Linked DNA regions of Nothobranchius furzeri. Each later gene encodes a partner of the first gene's protein in a complex. Links are inferred from orthologs where the notes say so. Each region holds a gene or a part of one and is shown in the gene's direction. Other genes may lie near its edges. The genes, in order: ribosome quality control complex subunit NEMF and tcf25.

Region 1 (8,509 bases):
CAAAGGGCTCTAGGAGTCTGTGAAGAGGCTCGGCTTTTTTCTCTGCCATTCTGAAAAGAGAAAGGGTTGGTCATGAAGATGACGCATATTTAAATTTAAAAGTGGTTTGACAGTTGAGGGCTTCACCTGATTTCCCTAAAGTACGTGTGCCTCAGTGCTGTTTCTGCGGCGATGCGCTCATCGGGGTCATAGGCAAGCGTCTGATACAGCAGCGACAGAGCCGGAGCTGGGCAGTTTGGGAGTAACCAGGAGATGCCGGTGCCTTTCTTCGGGGGGAAGTTAAAATGCATGGCTCTAGACCTGCCAGACATGGAAACACCAAAACATTCACATTTTGAAATAATTGGCGCGCATCGGTTTGAGGAGAAGCACTTACTGCTTGAACTTTTTTAGAACACTTTGATCCGGTGTCCCCAACACTTGGTGGATCTTGGCAACCTGGTCCAACTCGTTTGTTCCAGGGAAGAGAGGATTCAAGCTGAAACGCCAGCAGCCACAGCAGAACTACTTACACAGTTTCAGGAACATACTTGTTTACATCCTAGAGAATGCAAAGGCCAGCGACAAGTCCATGTACGAAAATATTGATTCACTGAAATGCCGCCATAACCCATCGGTTACAGGGCGAACTAACCTCCGAGCCTATGTTGCCACACTGGGTGTGTTGGAAGCATCTGGCCAGAGTTTCCCAATTAAATTCAGTCTTAAATATAGCAAATATCTAGTTTTTAGTATCACAACATATTGTATTGTGATATATATCATAATGCCAGATTCTTGCCAATATGCCTTAATAAATTCTGACTTTGATCAGAACCAAAAGTTAAACCCACCTCATGATTTCAAAAAAGACACAACCGGCGCTCCAGATGTCCATCTTCAGGCTGTAGTATCCGTCTGTGAGGAGGCACTCCGGGGCTCTGTACCATCGTGTGGAAATGTACTCTGTGTGTGGTGGCTTGGAGTACACGCTGCGACAGGAGCCAAAATCACCCAGCTTCAGAATGTTGTGCTGTAACATCAGAAAGGTTCGTGTTGAGCATTTGAACGTCCTCACACGGCTCAGAAAGCAGAGTTCAGCACTGATCTGTCTCACTTTTATGAGAATGTTTTCAGGTTTCACGTCTCTGTGGAAGATCCCACAGCTGTGCATGTGTTCCAGCGCTTTTAACAGTTGGTACATGTAGTTTTTGACTGTCTGGTCATGCAGGGGTGTTTGTCTTCCTGCAAACATCATTACATGCTGTTTTTAACCCAAAACATAAACAACATCTTCAAGTTTCACTTTTCTCACCTTGAATGTGCTCATAGATGTTCATCTCCATCAGCTCGCATATTAAAGACACTGTTCCGCTTTCTTTGTCACTGAAACATTGTTGGGTTATTAAAATACAAACAAGTTTAAGATGTCAGAATGCATGAGAAACAATGCAGTGCTCACAAAATCAGGTCATGGAGTTGGATGATGTTTGCATGAGGACTCAGTCGTCTCATCGCCTGGACCTCACGCAGGTTGTTGGCCTGTTCCAGACTAGAAGAACAAAATGGGATTGTGCTTAGTCATATTTGCTTCACACAAGTTACAGCAGAATGAGAAAACTGAAAGGTGTGCTATTCCACAATAAATGGTTGCAAAGTTTTAACACACATTGTTAACAACAAAAGACAAACTTTTAGTTCATCAGACAAATTGTAACAAAGCAAGTTTTACATTTAATATACTTCAAGTCAATATATGACAGAGAATTATTGGAAATGAATAGGAAATGGCACCACAATGTGGGACAAACATACCTGTTAATTCTCTGTTTCATAGTTTTGCATGCATAAAACTTCCCATCCTTCAGGCTCTGGGTCTTCAGCACCTCTGAAAACGTACCCTCTCCAATTTTCTTAATTACTTTGTAACCTGCAACAACAAAAACACAATGGAATAATTAATGATAATTGCATCAGCAGCTGGGGCTGCGCGGTGGCGCAGTGGTTAGAGCTGTTGCCTTGCAGCAAGAAGGTTCCTGGGTTCACTTCCCGGCCTGGGATCCTTCTGCATGGAGTTTGCACGTTCTCCCTGTGCATGCGTGGGTTCTCTCCTGGTACTCTGGCTTCCTCCCACAGTCCAAAAACATGACTGTTAGGTTGATTGGTCTGTCTAAGTTGTCCCTAGGTGTGAATGTGTGTGTGCATGATTGTTTGTCCTGTGTGTCTCTGTGTTGCCCTGTGATGGACTGGCAACCTGTCCAGGGTGTACCCCACCTGATTGCCCATTGACCGCTGGAGATAGGCACCAGACCCCCCCCCCCCCCCCGCGGACAAGCGGGTTCAGAAGATGGATGGATGGATGCATCAGCAGCTCACAACACATTCATTAAATGTAATCAATAATAATAATAAATAAATATGTGAGAAACGTTTTTGCTTCAGAAACTGCAAACTCCTATCTGGACATTAGGATTTTGTTTTGTTTTTAAATAAAGATTTGGGGTCATTTTAAAATTTCTAAACAGCTATCAAAAATAATAATAAAAAACTCCTATTTTTGTTCTAGCTACTAGATGTTTGGTTTGAACGTCTAATACTTCTTTATTTTTTTAAGTTACTTTTCTGATTTTACCTGTCAGATTTTATTTTAATGTTTTCATTTTACAGGAAAGACAGATTAGGTAAATTGTGTATCTAATTTATCTTACTTTCAGCAATTTCACCACAAGCAAAGGTAATTTTTTTTAACAATGATTCCAGTGATATTTTCATCTATTTTATTGTGTAGGTGTGTGTATGGTTGTTCCTCTGATGAGCCCCAGAGGTTAAAACAATAGCTGCTAGCAAGCACACATGTAGAGAAACCCTCTATAAAACCTTTTTTCCTCACTTACTTTTCATTCTTTTAGGATTTTGCCGCCGCATTTTGGTTGATTATCACGACCAAAGGTATCTTTGTGGTACATGCTAATTATAAGCTAGAAAATGAAACATTTCCACGCAACGAGGGCACAGAAGTCCCTCTTGTTGGTGCTAGCCTAGCCCCAGCTGACCGTCGCCTTGGTAACGGTGCACGCCTTCGCCCTCCACTCTGACCTGAGGAGGAACTCAGACTGAACCAACCTCAGCCTGGCCCTTCGATTAAAAAAATATCAGAATATAAACATATAATAAGCCCCAATTTTTTGACAACGACCAGTCAAGCCGATTTATTCAACAATCAGGCCCCGAAAAAAAGACAAAAAAAAAAAAAACTCCATCCTTACCTTTTTTCCAGAGGTGCGCCGTTTTCTCTTTTGGCTGCGGGTTTTTGTTCTGCATTCCCGCAGCATTTCCCCTATTATTCCAGTCTGTGCTAGAGCTCGTTTTGCTTGCATTTCTTAAGCTTGCTCTATTCTTAACGTCAATAAGCCAGTTTGAGTAGTGCAGCATTGGTGCACATTAATTGTGAAAGAGCTGACCATGCGTTTAATGGCTTAAAAAAGGCAATTCTCGCAGGAGAGAAACAGCAGATTCTCTACATTCATAATATTACGGTTCCGTTACCAGACACAAGAGCATCTCAAAGCGGCTGCCAGTCTATGCAAAAGGCGTGGACCTTCTCTATTTTGACCCCAACCGGCTTCCGTAAGAAAGCAGAACGTGTGCACTTTCAGTGTTGCTGAATGTATTAATTTTCTTGTTGCTCTTGGGATGTGAAGTATACACGAAGGGGTTGTTTTTAAATCACCATTATTCTGGATTTGATTCACCATGAAAACCCGATTCACCACGGTGGATATCCGGGCAGTTATTGCCGAAATCAATGCCAAGTATGTGTTGTTAGGCTAAGCTAGCATTAGCCCACTAAATGTTACTGTCTATTTTTATTCACATTCATTTATTTCACCTCCTCATTTCACAGTTACATTGGCATGAGGGTAAACAACGTGTATGACATCGACACTAAGACGTATCTCATCCGTCTGCAGAAGTAAGAACATAAGGTTCTGAGTGCTACTATTTATGCTAGCTTAAGTCATAAAGCTCTTGCTAATAGAAACATACATGCGTAATATTAGAAGCATAAAGATTTAAGTGATTCAATGATTACTGCTAGAATAGATCACTGTTTTGACGTATACATGTAAATAAATCACTTTGTTAATAAAGTTAGATCTTGAATTTATCGGTTTTAAACGGGGAATAATGGGAGTTTTTTTTTTAGCTGGAAACAACAAAACTACACAGAAATGTTACTGTTAGTTGTCACATATACAGAAGATTCTGTAACGTGTATGATGAAAAGTAAAGTATGTGAATGAAGTCTGTCTTCTCCCAGACTAGGATGAATAATAATAATAATTATTATTATTTTACACAGACCTTCACTTGTATGTGTTACAGTTGTGTTTCTGTTTCAGACCGGACAGCAAAGCTGTTCTCCTGATTGAGTCTGGCACTCGCATCCACTCCACAGACTTTGAATGGCCCAAGAACATGATGCCTTCAGGCTTTGCTATGAAAGTAAGAAGATCCATGTAATTGTTAAAGATCGTGATGTTTTTTCATTATTATACCCTGCTTCAAAAATGCTGATTGCTCTGTGAATATTTATATGTTTTGATAGCACTTAACTTGATTTTTATCCACAGTGCAGAAAACATCTAAAGACCCGCCGGCTTACCCAGGTTAAGCAGCTTGGGATCGACAGAATCGTGGACATCCAGTTTGGTTCGGATGAGGCTGCCTACCACTTGATCATTGAACTTTACGACAGGGTCAGAAAACATCATCCAATGCATTTGGAACTGTTCCAGGTCACATTTATCCTGATTAATACACATTTATGTTTTGTTTCCTCATCTTTACTTTCAGGGTAACATCATCCTTGCAGATCACGAGTACACAATCCTGAATCTGTTGAGGTTCCGAACCGCAGAAGCAGAAGATGTTAAGATTGCCGTGAGGGAGAGGTACCCAGTGGAGAGCGCCAGACCACCGGAGCCCCTCATCAGTCTTGAGAAGTAAACCATTTATTTGATATAGATAGAGAGGACATACATCAGTGTTCAGTTAGCCTTTATTACATTAGTCTGCAGCACAAACATAGTGTTATTGTTCTCTTTAAAGACTCACTGACATCCTGAGCAAAGCACCAAATGGAGAGCAAGTGAAACGAGTCCTGAACCCTCATCTGCGTAAGTCGCTGGACACACAAACACTGTGATTGTTTATTTGAACAGATAATATTGTAGATTTTAGAAATCTTCATTCCTGTAAAAACAGAGAGATTATTTATTGTAGGTCATTCTTCAATCACAGCCATTTTCACTGGACTGGGAAGCTCTTAAAGCATTAATCCATGATGTGCAATCCTGATGGATAAGAGAGAGGGAGAGTCCAGTTATAACGGGAAGTTACGGAAACTGCTCTAAAGTTACTAAAATGTATGATTCACATCATGTAAGTTAGTCTCGGGTTTGGAAAAAAATAGTCTGGATCTTAATTTTTACTAAGTTTTCTCAGCTTAGACATGCAACGTTTTATAAATGAGATCAGATATTACACTTTGCAACAGAAAAATCTGATCCTAGCGGTAAAACATGGCTGCTCGAGTGTGTTTGGGAACCAAAGCCACAGAGATTTTACTGTTTCTTAGGACAAAACATGCATCAAACTGTGTTTTCAGAGAGAAGTCATGGCAGCAAATACAGACAAGATCACAGAATTGTTTCAAAATATCATTAAATAAGATTGATCTAAATTCACAAGTCTGGTTCAAAGAAATTGTTCTAAATTCCTCCTCGTTTTTAACTCCAAATAAAAAGCCTGTTTCTTGTCCAAATAAGCATTTTCTTATTAATTCTTAACACGTTGCTTCAAGAAAGCCTAATGATGATTTTCAGTTTATTTATTCATTTTTTAATCATTAAACTTCTCATAAACCCGTTCAGCTTACGGAGCCACTCTGATCGAACACAGTCTTATAGAAGCAGGACTGCCGGGTTCGCTCAAAGTCGACAGCCAAGCTGATGTTGCTGAAGGTAAAATATGGACGTCGATTTTATTATTATTAATATTTTATTCTTTTAACATGAATGCACTAACAGGACCTTTGTTTTTTTCTCCTCAGTTGCCTGTGAAATCCTGAAAGCCTTGCAGATGGCAGAAACCTACATGGAAATAACGGAAAGATTCAGCGGCAAAGTCAGTAAAACATCTTTTATAAGTATTGAAGTAAACTGTAATTTTTTTTACTATACTTTAAATGTTATTTATTTTAAGGGTTACATCATCCAGAAGAGTGAGAAGAAACCAAGTTTGACTCCGGGCAAACCCGGTGAAGATCTCCTGACGTACGTCTCGTTAAAGGCATACTATGCAAATTCATATTCTTGAGCCAGTATGTACTAAAATGATGCTTTACAAGGTTAATGAAATGTCACCCAGACCCCGCCGCCCTCTGTGTCCAGAATATCGCACTTGCAACTTGAGAGTGGCGCTGCAGTCTGCTTCCAGCGCGTTTCCTGCATGTTTTAGATCATGAACACAGCGGATTTGTTTAATTTAGTGATGAATCACTCCTGTAGACACTGATGAAGGCTGAGGAGACATTTCAGCTGTTAGATTAGGGTGTTAAAAAGACAAACGCAACAGCAAAGAGATAAGCTTCACTTTTGCTTTCATTAACAGAACACTAGAGGGTGCTAAAAACTGCCTGGTATCCCTGGGCAAAGGACAATCCTCCAGCTGATTGTTCCTAACGAGGTTATTAATTTTCTCGTTAATGTCTTCCTGCAGATACGATGAATTCCACCCGTTTCTCTTCTCTCAGCATGCAAAGAGCCCCTATATGGAGTTTGAAAACTTTAACAAGGTGAATATTAGCACAGCTGTTGCTTATGCATCTAAAGAAAACCTGTTGGCAAGAATAATGGTTTAAAAATATTTTTAAACAGGCAGTGGATGAGTTCTTTTCAAAGATGGAGAGCCAGAAGATTGACATGAAGGCCTTGCAGCAGGAGAAACATGCACTGAAGAAGCTGGAGAATGTTAAGAGGGACCACGAGCAGAGGCTGGAGGCGTTGCACCAATCACAGGTCGGCAGCAAGCAGATTTTCATTTCAGATTCACCTGATCTGTTGCAGAATTAAAAGCTTTATTCTCTGTGTTTGCAGGAGGTGGACAGAATAAAAGGGGAGCTGGTGGAGATGAATCTGCCTGTGGTGGAGAGGGCTCTGCAGGTGGTGTGCAGCGCGTTAGCCAACCAGGTGGACTGGACTGAAATCGGCACTATTGTTAAGGAAGCACAAGCTGCTGGGGACCCCGTGGCCTGCGTCATCAAGGAGCTGAAGCTGCAGACCAACCACATCACCATGCTTTTAACGTGAGATCACCGTCCAGGTGATAAACCTGCCGGAGAATCCCGGTGGTAATAATCGACGCCGCTCTGTGTGCAGAAATCCATACATTTCTGAGGAGGACCACGAAGAGGAAGAGAAAAAAGGTTCCATCGATGAGAAAGGGAAGAAAAACAAGACTAAAGAGAAAGGGCAGAGCAGGAAGCTGCAGAGGAACAAGCCCATGTTGGTGGATTTGGATCTGGGCTTGTCAGCTTATGCCAACGCTAAAAAGTGGGTTTGCATTTAAAGTTTTAGATGCACAAACACATAGAAAGCCTACAGATGACAGTCTGTCGTCGTGTTGCTTTTAGGTACTATGACCACAAACGCACTGCAGAAAAAAAGGAACAGAAAACCATTGAGGCAGCAGACAAGGTGGACAAGCTATTTTACTTTATGTATAACAAATAATTTGTCATGCATTGATTTAGAATTAATGTTTTATTTTTCATCTAAGGCTATGAAATCAGCTGAGAAAAAAACACATCAGACACTGAAGGAGGTCCAGACCGTCACCACTATTCAGAAAGCCAGAAAGGTGTACTGGTAAGGCCCTCGCCAAAGGATCCTGAGTCCGTTCCAAGTTTAATTGAAGCGTTTGTGGCTCCAGACTGTCTGCGGTCATCTTGTCCTCCCGTCTGACAGGTTTGAGAAGTTCCTGTGGTTCATCAGCTCCGAGAACTATCTCGTCATCGCAGGAAGGGATCAGCAGCAGAACGAGATGATTGTTAAACGCTACCTCCGGGCAGGTGGGGAAACTGTCCCTCTAAAGGACTCATATAATACATGTTCTTTTTGAAATCTGATTACTCAGTCTGAGTTACATATACACGCTGAATGTGAAAAATCTCGTCTGCTGCCATCATCTGCATTAGCAGAAATGAGGTAGATGGGAAAACGGTCACATCAGAAAAAGCCGCTCTCCTCTACGTCACAAGAAAAGTTAGCATTCACGGCCTCGCCCAGCTTGGCCTGGGACCGCTGAAGGCTGTTGTTGTTGATTTGGCGACCAGGAAGGAACGGAGCACATCTCGGCTAGTGGAAGCTAACTGTTAGCATTAGCAACCCTACAACACGGAGGAACACGTTCAGGCTTGTGTTATGTGTTTTGAGATAAAGCATCAGCAGACGAAGGCAGTGGAAGG
Region 2 (8,069 bases), on another chromosome or scaffold:
GTGACGTTGCGGACCTTAAAACTCCGGTTTTGTCTGTCCACACGCAGACACCCAAAACGGAGAAAACGCAGATCTTCACTTTGGCCGGAGTTTTAAAAAAGATCCGTTTTTGTGTGAAAAAACTCCGTTTCCGTGTGGATGACAGGCCAAAACGTAGAAAAATATCTACGTTTTGGCAGATCCCCGGCTACGTGTGGACAGGACCTAGAAGAGAGAAAGTTACTTTCATTTACCTGAATAAAATCAAAATTTAAGAATCGTGCAACATTCTTTCAGAAAAGGTCGTTTAGCTAGCAGGAAAAAATGTAGGAAAGAACATCTGCTGATTTATTGACTTCTTTATTTATTTAAGAAAATTTGATGACTTATGAAAGTTAAATGTAGGATTTGAAGCACGTTTCTGCCATCAATTACTTCAGCTTCTGAGCATTTTAAGGTTTAAAGGAGTGGTTCACTCATTTGATAATACACTTGCAGTGATTTCTTATAGGAATGAATGCCTTGTAAAGCCTAATTTATACATCTTCCATCAGCTCCACAAGGGAGAGACACTCCTGCACTGATAGACATTTTACCTTCGGACTTCTCCATCTCCTGAGGAGTGTTGCAAAGCAATTCCCCGCCAGGACAACAGGGCATAGCACTGTTCTGTGGTACCCTGTCATGTGTCCGGTCCAAGATAGTGTGTTTATTATTGTGTTTATATTGTGTTTTTTGTGTTTTAAGAGCCTTTTTAACACATACAATGTTGTCCCTCCTCCTCCACCACCTCTTCATGCACTCGCCACCTCTAAACCCACCTTTCCCATCGTTTCCGTCCACGAATAAAACGCTTGCTGTGTATCTTTTCACTCCTCAAGTCACGGGTGAATAAAACGTTAATATATTTAGAGTTTTTTCACGAGGTATTCTTCAAGCTTCTCTGCGTCTGCTGCTAGATATCTTCAGCTTTCTTTGTCTTTGAGGTGGCAGTGGTGTCCTGACCAATCACAAGCTTGCGTTATCCGTCTCGTTGGACGTATATTTATATATATATATACTCTTACTTTCTTTGTGTGTGTGTGTGTGTGTGCGTGTGTGCGTGTGTGTGTGTGTGTGTGTGTGTGTGTGTGTGTGTGTGTGTGTGTGTGTGTGTGTGAGACAGTTTGGATCCAGACTTGGACCCCCTTTGCATGCTCCTCCTGGTTGATTTCCTAATGCTGCGCTCCAGAGAGTACAAGTCTCTCCTTCAGTTATATCAGGACTGGGAGGTAAGCCATGCAGCAGTTAATGTCCCGTTTCACTGTTACCCCTCTAATCTGACGCAGAAATGATTTCTTGTCACTTTTCAGGAGCACAGAAATCTCTCTCAGCTGCCGAACTTTGCGTTCTCCTGTGCACTTTGTCGTTTCCACCTCAGCCAGCAGGAGGATTTGGATCCTAAAGAAGCTGAAAATCAGAAAAAACTAGCTGACCAGATGCTCCAGAGTGCTCTTATTATGTTCCCTGGAGGTTAGACCTGACCCTCAGTGGTTAGTTGTTTCTTTACAGGTATTTTAATTCTGGACCTTATTCATCTTTTAATGTGCTTCCTTCAGTCTTGATGCCTTTACTGGATCTGTGCACGGTGCAGCCAGATGCCACCGTCACCTCCCACTGCTTCTTTGGCCCAAAGAGTCAGATAGGGTGAGCCTCCTTTTCCTCAACTGTTAATATGTTCAGCACACTGTAATTTTGCTTTTTACACTGCATAACCATAACAAATCTAATATAAAACAACAGATAATAATTTCATGACTTATTTTAGTAGTTTTAGATTTGTTTCACTTTTTTTGTTGTTTCGTAATGTTTTCTCTGTCTGCACCGGTGTAAAGTTCACCCCCTCCCCCCGTTTGTCTCCAGGCAGCCGCCGGCTCTGGCTGAACTGACAGCGCTGTACGTAGGGAGAACGTACGCTCTGTGGAAGGAGGCAGCCATAATGCTCTGGTTAGAGGAGTCTGTCAAGGAGGTGCTGCGTAGAGTTGACTCCAAAGACTCCTTTGTGGAAGAATGCGAAAACAAGTATAATCTCCACTTTATACACCTTTGCTGTAACTAGAACTTCTCCACATAGAGCGACGACTCTCAAGGTCCATTCCTTTGTTGCAGGAGAAAACAGAGGTACCAGAGCGCACCGAGAAACATCCATCGCCACGTCCTCCTCTCTGAGATCAAAGAGGCCACCTCCACCCTGCCCCTTGTAAGACATCACCAGCACATGCTCTGTTTTTGTGCTGTTATGGTATTTTTGAAAATAGGTGGAAATTAATATTTTGATTTCACAGATCGGTCACATCTTATTTATTGACTTACCCCAAAATTCCACTATCTCCGCTCGCTCCGGCACGAACTCCGCAGCAAAAACGGTCCCGTTGTAGTCAATCAGTGCTGTTCCACTACTGCGGCCGTGTGGCGCAATGCGCCGCCTGCCGTTCCTCCATCCGGCAAAAATAGGATCGATTCTATCTGATCACAACCGCCCAACAGGAAAGGGAGCAAGCAAGTACAGCTTCCGCTATTTCACAATAAATCGATAACAAAAAGCGTTTTTTTGTTTCATATGCACAGGTTTAACAACTTTTAACAACTATCAATGGCGGTTGAACTTTAAATGCACAAAAATAAGCCATAAATACAGTTTCCACTATCAAAATAGTCACACTTTGTTGATCCAAACACTGCTGATCTCTCAACACAAATGATGGGCAGATTAAACAGTTCATTTCGATGCTTCTCCCACACAACGGGTGTTTGGATCTGACTTCCGCATTTATTGCTCGGACTGTATCACAAGATCTCGAAAATCCCGCGCATGCCTGTTTGCGCACCTCAGGTCTCCGCACCGGAGCGGAGCCGTTGTAGAGCGGGTACAGTATAATTTGAGTTCGGAAGCGAGCGGCAGCGGAAAGCGGGGGCGGAGCGGAGATAGTGGAATTTTGGGGTAACACTTTGCTTGATTAGCTTATTAAAATAGAGTTCTTTGATTAATTAAAAGAAAAGAGTCTATTCTTCATTCTTCTGTTGAGCTCAAAAGAAGCGGATTAGAAGCCAATGCATGAGACCTTGAGACCATATCTCATGCAGACTAGTCCTGTGTCAGAGGAGGGGGAAAACAGTCATTTCATTCTGTTACACTTATAATTTGTGACGTGCAGAATACTAGTAAACAACAACAAAGATAACAAGGTACCGGGGGGGGGTGTTAAATGTGAGCAATTCTGAAAGATAGGCAGTCAGCTTGTAAAGGGGTGTGACAACAAAAGGCAAAATCTTAAACCAAACCCAGTAAAAAGCACAGGAGCGATATGGGTGTCTGTGTTTGTCAGAAAATGTGCTGCCCCGTTGTGAGCTCTTTGAAGATGGTCTAGCAGAAACATGTTTACACCTCAGAAGTGAGATTACTTAGTCAAGTCTGAATGTAATGGTTTTATCAAAGAACACAATCATAGCAGATTCCAAATGAGATCTTTAGGGAATGTGTTAAGCCGAGTTATGCAGATCTTCTCTTTTTGCACTTTTCAAAGATGTTTTCTTTATTAATTATTTATTCATTTTATTATTTTTGTCAAATTAACTCATATTTACTAGTCAAGATGCCTCGTTTGCAAGTGATGTCAAATGTTTGGTTGTATCTCTTTCAGGACGTGACCGCTCAGCCTGTGATGGGGTTTGATCTCCTTCCTCCTCTGGACTCGGTGATCTCATACACCAGACCAGAGAGGTAATGGGAATACCAATAAAATCCACTTTTTACAGCACTAACATGCCTTTTAATTGTCTGCTTTTAAAGTACTTTGAAAACAGTTTCTCTGTGTTTTTATGTCTTATCCAGGCAGCATGTTGGAGCATCCAATGAAAGCACACTGTCACTGTTTTTCCGTTCTTTACTTCCGAACTTCAACCTTCAGGTGAGTTGAGAAAATTAGATTAGTGTGGGTTCGCAATGTAACAGGTTTGCTGATTGTGGTTTAAGTGAATCAAAGAAAAAAATACACATTTAAATAAAAACAACCTAAAAGTGAGTTCAAACCATTGGTTAAAACCAGTAAACGGGTTACGTTTGGACTCTTCCATGCTGTTGTATTTGAAGATGGCCGCATAGACATTGAATAACTGAAAGCACTAATTAAGAACCCATGCCGTGCATGTGAAGACTCCATGTGATCAGCAGCTGTAAGCCCTACAGACACAAGCCGTTTGTTTAGTAACAAATTTTGTTACATCGTGCCGAGTTTGATCACTGCATTCAGAATGAACTTACTGCTCTAAGGGATTTTAAGCGATTCAGTCCTAAAACCTCCATTTGGTGCTGAGATTTCCTGCAACTTGAGGGTTTTACTGTACATTTCCTGAAGCGTTTGACTCAAAGGAGAGGCTTAGCTTCCTGATCTGACCTCAGATTGCCGAGCAGGACCTACACCTATACAAGACTAATCAGAACACGTGCTTCTTAGTTTTCTGATTAATTGGTTTATGTGCATCATTGAGTTTTGTTTATGCATATGTGCAGCAGAGCAGACCATCCTCTTCATCATGTGTGCAGCTCAGTGGTCTCTTAATTTCTTATTTAAAGTTTACCTCCAAAAAAGTGTTCAGTCACTGCACCCTGCGGGGCCTTTTGGCAGCATCTGAGAAAATCCCTTAACAAACATGTCCTTGACTGATGGAACATTTCCTCCGAAGGGCTCATGCTTTCCCTCGAGGGACAACAACTTAAAAGTATCCAAGGAGGCATATAAAGTTTTTAGCCTTGTTTTTAATGGGTCATCTTGTAGGAATCAAGTCGGTGGGTTTATTTTACACATAAAAATTGGAAGGAAAATTATTGAATGTGGAGTTTTAGCAGATTTTTTAATGTAGAAATAATAAAGAAAATAACCGTTTTCTCAGTTTTTCCCCTTTAAAACCCGATGGTTTTGCTCTTAATCCTCGTCGACTAAAACAGTGACATCAAGAGAAAATCTAACAGGTGATAATGATAACTGTACACATCTTTCTGTGGATCAACCTGTATTTAAAGATTAATTTAGTCTAATATCATTTGAAAACAAGTAATTTTGATTCGATGGAGGAAAAAATGGATTCAGATATATAGTTTGAACCCGGATGGGTTCAATCAGTTTGACTGAAGCAAAAACGTCATTTCTCCTCTCAGCTAAGTCATAAGCTGTTTTTAGTCATGTTTAGACACATTTAGTTCAGAATACTGGACAAAACAGTACAGCTTCAATCTGACAACAGAAACCATCAACTGGTAGAGCTGTGTGTTGTTTAACCCTCCCACTGTCCTAATGGGTGTGACCCCGCGAGGAAAGTTTACCATTGAGGTGGTGCTCCTCACCCCTGCCACATGTCACCCCTGCCACATGTCACCCCTGCCACGTGGACCTCAAGGGATAAACCATCAACCCTGCTCAATGGTCAACTTTCCTCATGGGGTCACACCCATTAGGACAGTGGGAGGGTTAAACGTTTGTACTTTTAGAAATAGACGGATATTGAAAACATTTATTGGCTGTACTATATCAAAACTATCTGGATGAAAATGTTGTGGTTAGTGTGTGTTGGAGGCTTTTAAACAGGCTTCCAATGAAGACAGTTGTTAACTGTGGTGCACAAACAGTTGATTTACACCGTGGACTTTTCTGTTTTTTATCTACAGTTAACTGTAATTTTATTTCAACCACAGAGACAGTTTTTTCATTTTTATTATCCGACCATAATTTGATCATAAATGCTGCTGTTAAGTCTGAAACCTAAATTGTTTAACTGTCTGAAATTCTTAGTTTAAATTTCTTGTTTACTGAGAAATACGATCTGTCCCTCAGAGTTACACAAGTACAGTGGGATGCGAAGGTTTGGGCAGCCTTGTTAATCTTCATGATTTTCTTTTATAAATTGTTGGTTGTTAAATATTGTTGCTGTTAAATATGTCATATAGGAGAAACACACACAGTGATATTTGAGAAGTGAAACAAAGTTTATAGGATTAACAGAAATTGTGCAATAATTGTTGAAACAAAATTAGACAGGTGCATAAAAAAGAAATTAACTCAGCATTTAGTTGATCCATCTGTTGCAGGAATAACAGCCTCTAAGCACTTCCTGTAGCTTCCAATGAGAGTCTGGACTCTGGTTGAAAGTATTTTGGACCATACTTCTCTACAAAACATCCTTAGTTCATTCAGGTTTGATGGCTTCACAGATTTTCAATAATATTCAGTTCTGGGGACTGAGATGGCCATTCCAGAGCGTTGTACTTGTTCCCCTTCATGAATGCCTCATCAGATTCTGAGCAGTGTTTAGGGTTGTTGTCTTGTTGAAAGATCCCGCCCCGGTGCAGCTTCAGCTTTGGCTCTGATTCCTGGACATTGGTCTCCAGAATCTGCTGATATTGAGTGGAATCCATGCGTCTCTCAACTTTAACAAGATTCCCAGGCCCTGCACTGGCCGCATAGCCCCACAGCATGATGAAACCACCGCCATGTTTTACTGTAGGTAGCAGGTGTTTTTTTTCCTGGAATGCTGTGTTCTTGTTCCTCCATGCATAACACTCCTTGTTCTGCCCAAATAACTCAGTTTTAGTTTCATCAGTCCGCAGCACCTTATTCCAACGTAAAGCTGGCTTGCACAAATGTGCTTCAGCATACCTCAAGCAGCTTTGTTGGCGCTGTGGGTGGAGAAAAGGCTTCCGCTGTATCACTCTCGCATACAGCATCTTCTTGTGTAAAGTGCACTGAGTAGTTGAACAATGCACAGTGGCTCCATCTGCAGCAAGATGATGTTGTAGGTGATTGGTGCTGGTCTGTGGGTTGACTCTGGCTGTTCTCACCATTCTTCACTTCTGTTTATCTGAGATTTTTCTTGGTCTGCCACTTGGAGCCTTAACTTGAACTGAGCCTGTGGTCTTCCATTTCCTCAGTATGTTCCAAACTGGAACAGACAGCTGAAATCTCTGAGACAGCTTTCTGTAACCTTGCCTTAAACCATGTTTGTGAACAATCTTTGTTTTCAGCTCATGTGAGAGTTGTTTTGAGACCCCCATGCTACTCTAGAGAATATTCAGAGAGGAGGGAAACTTACAATTGGCCGATTGTGCTATACATTTTCTTTGTAACAACCAACGATTTACACAATAGAACATAAAGGCTGCCCTAACTTTTGCGTCCTACTGTATGCTGAATGTGAACATTTATTTTCAACCCCCGTGGCCCGCTTTAACTGCAGAAAGAAAATAGATGAAAAACAATCGATTCAGAAAGTCACAGGGATAATTGGCATTCATGGCCTCACCCACCTTGGTTTGCAACTGCGTCTGAGCTAGTAGAAGCTAACCGTTGGCAACTTCATGGCAGAAGATGTTCTGGCTGATGTAATTCGTGGAGATAACATTTCAGCATTGAATTTAATAAACAAAAAAAAAGGCGAACAAGAGCAGAAGAAAAGTCACGTTACTGCTCGCCAATCAGAAGCAAGCGAGTATTAATGAATAAGACTATCTCTTGCATTAGCTTCTGATAGAAAATGGACGGTGAAGCTCTAGGATTTGAAAAGCCTGACAGATCTACGTCACATCGTCGCTTAACATTCATGGACTCACCCATCTTGACTTGGGACGGGGAAGACTGTTGGTTAAGCATCAGCCCGGTGACTGATCTCTTGTTTCAAGCGGTTCGAATTCCAACCAAAAATGGACATCATTTGCACAGAAATAAGAGGAACTATTTTGTCACAGTGAAGTTAGATGTACGTTGGATATTCGTCAGAGGTTCACCACGGTCAGTGATGGGTTTTGATGCTGTGCCAGAGACGACAGTCAGCTGTGTTCCGAGGACTCGTTCATGAAAGCGGTGGTTTACTTAAAGACCATCAACAAATTTCTAGTCATTTGAAAATGGATTTAAAAAAAATGAAAACTTTCAGCTTCATAGATTGAATGACTAAATCAATTGCCAATAGTGTTACTAGGCTAGACCAACGAGACACAACAGTTTTTAACATATTTCATACAATCTAATCTGTTTTATTAAGATTTTGATAAACAATTAAAT

What was found.
Region 2: ribosome quality control complex subunit NEMF (region 1) and tcf25 share a complex: the UniProt entries of both Homo sapiens proteins name them as parts of the ribosome quality control complex. The link is inferred for Nothobranchius furzeri from reciprocal best matches to the Homo sapiens genes NEMF and TCF25.

The regions. Positions count from the first base shown.
Region 1 is NC_091758.1:27,046,354-27,054,862, reverse strand, and holds the start of ribosome quality control complex subunit NEMF, read left to right. Parts: upstream 1-3,600; 5' UTR 3,601-3,732; coding exon 3,733-3,791; intron 3,792-3,883; coding exon 3,884-3,952; coding exon of another isoform or gene 3,953-3,965; intron 3,966-4,382; coding exon 4,383-4,485; intron 4,486-4,613; coding exon 4,614-4,739; intron 4,740-4,836; coding exon 4,837-4,985; intron 4,986-5,091; coding exon 5,092-5,159; intron 5,160-5,915; coding exon 5,916-6,005; intron 6,006-6,094; coding exon 6,095-6,168; intron 6,169-6,246; coding exon 6,247-6,317; intron 6,318-6,762; coding exon 6,763-6,838; intron 6,839-6,920; coding exon 6,921-7,061; intron 7,062-7,139; coding exon 7,140-7,348; intron 7,349-7,421; coding exon 7,422-7,595; intron 7,596-7,675; coding exon 7,676-7,739; intron 7,740-7,821; coding exon 7,822-7,910; intron 7,911-8,009; coding exon 8,010-8,113; intron 8,114-8,509. Other genes in the region: MAPK/MAK/MRK overlapping kinase, read right to left, coding at 1-50, 127-300, 377-478, 834-1,012, 1,097-1,224, 1,295-1,365, 1,442-1,531, 1,795-1,909 and 1 more. UniProt on the Homo sapiens protein: Key component of the ribosome quality control complex (RQC), a ribosome-associated complex that mediates the extraction of incompletely synthesized nascent chains from stalled ribosomes as well as their ubiquitin-mediated proteasomal degradation.
Region 2 is NC_091749.1:57,576,282-57,584,350, reverse strand, and holds part of tcf25 (ribosome quality control complex subunit TCF25), read left to right. Parts: intron 1-1,144; coding exon 1,145-1,250; intron 1,251-1,331; coding exon 1,332-1,491; intron 1,492-1,577; coding exon 1,578-1,665; intron 1,666-1,881; coding exon 1,882-2,040; intron 2,041-2,127; coding exon 2,128-2,218; intron 2,219-3,659; coding exon 3,660-3,739; intron 3,740-3,850; coding exon 3,851-3,926; intron 3,927-8,069. UniProt on the Homo sapiens protein: Component of the ribosome quality control complex (RQC), a ribosome-associated complex that mediates ubiquitination and extraction of incompletely synthesized nascent chains for proteasomal degradation.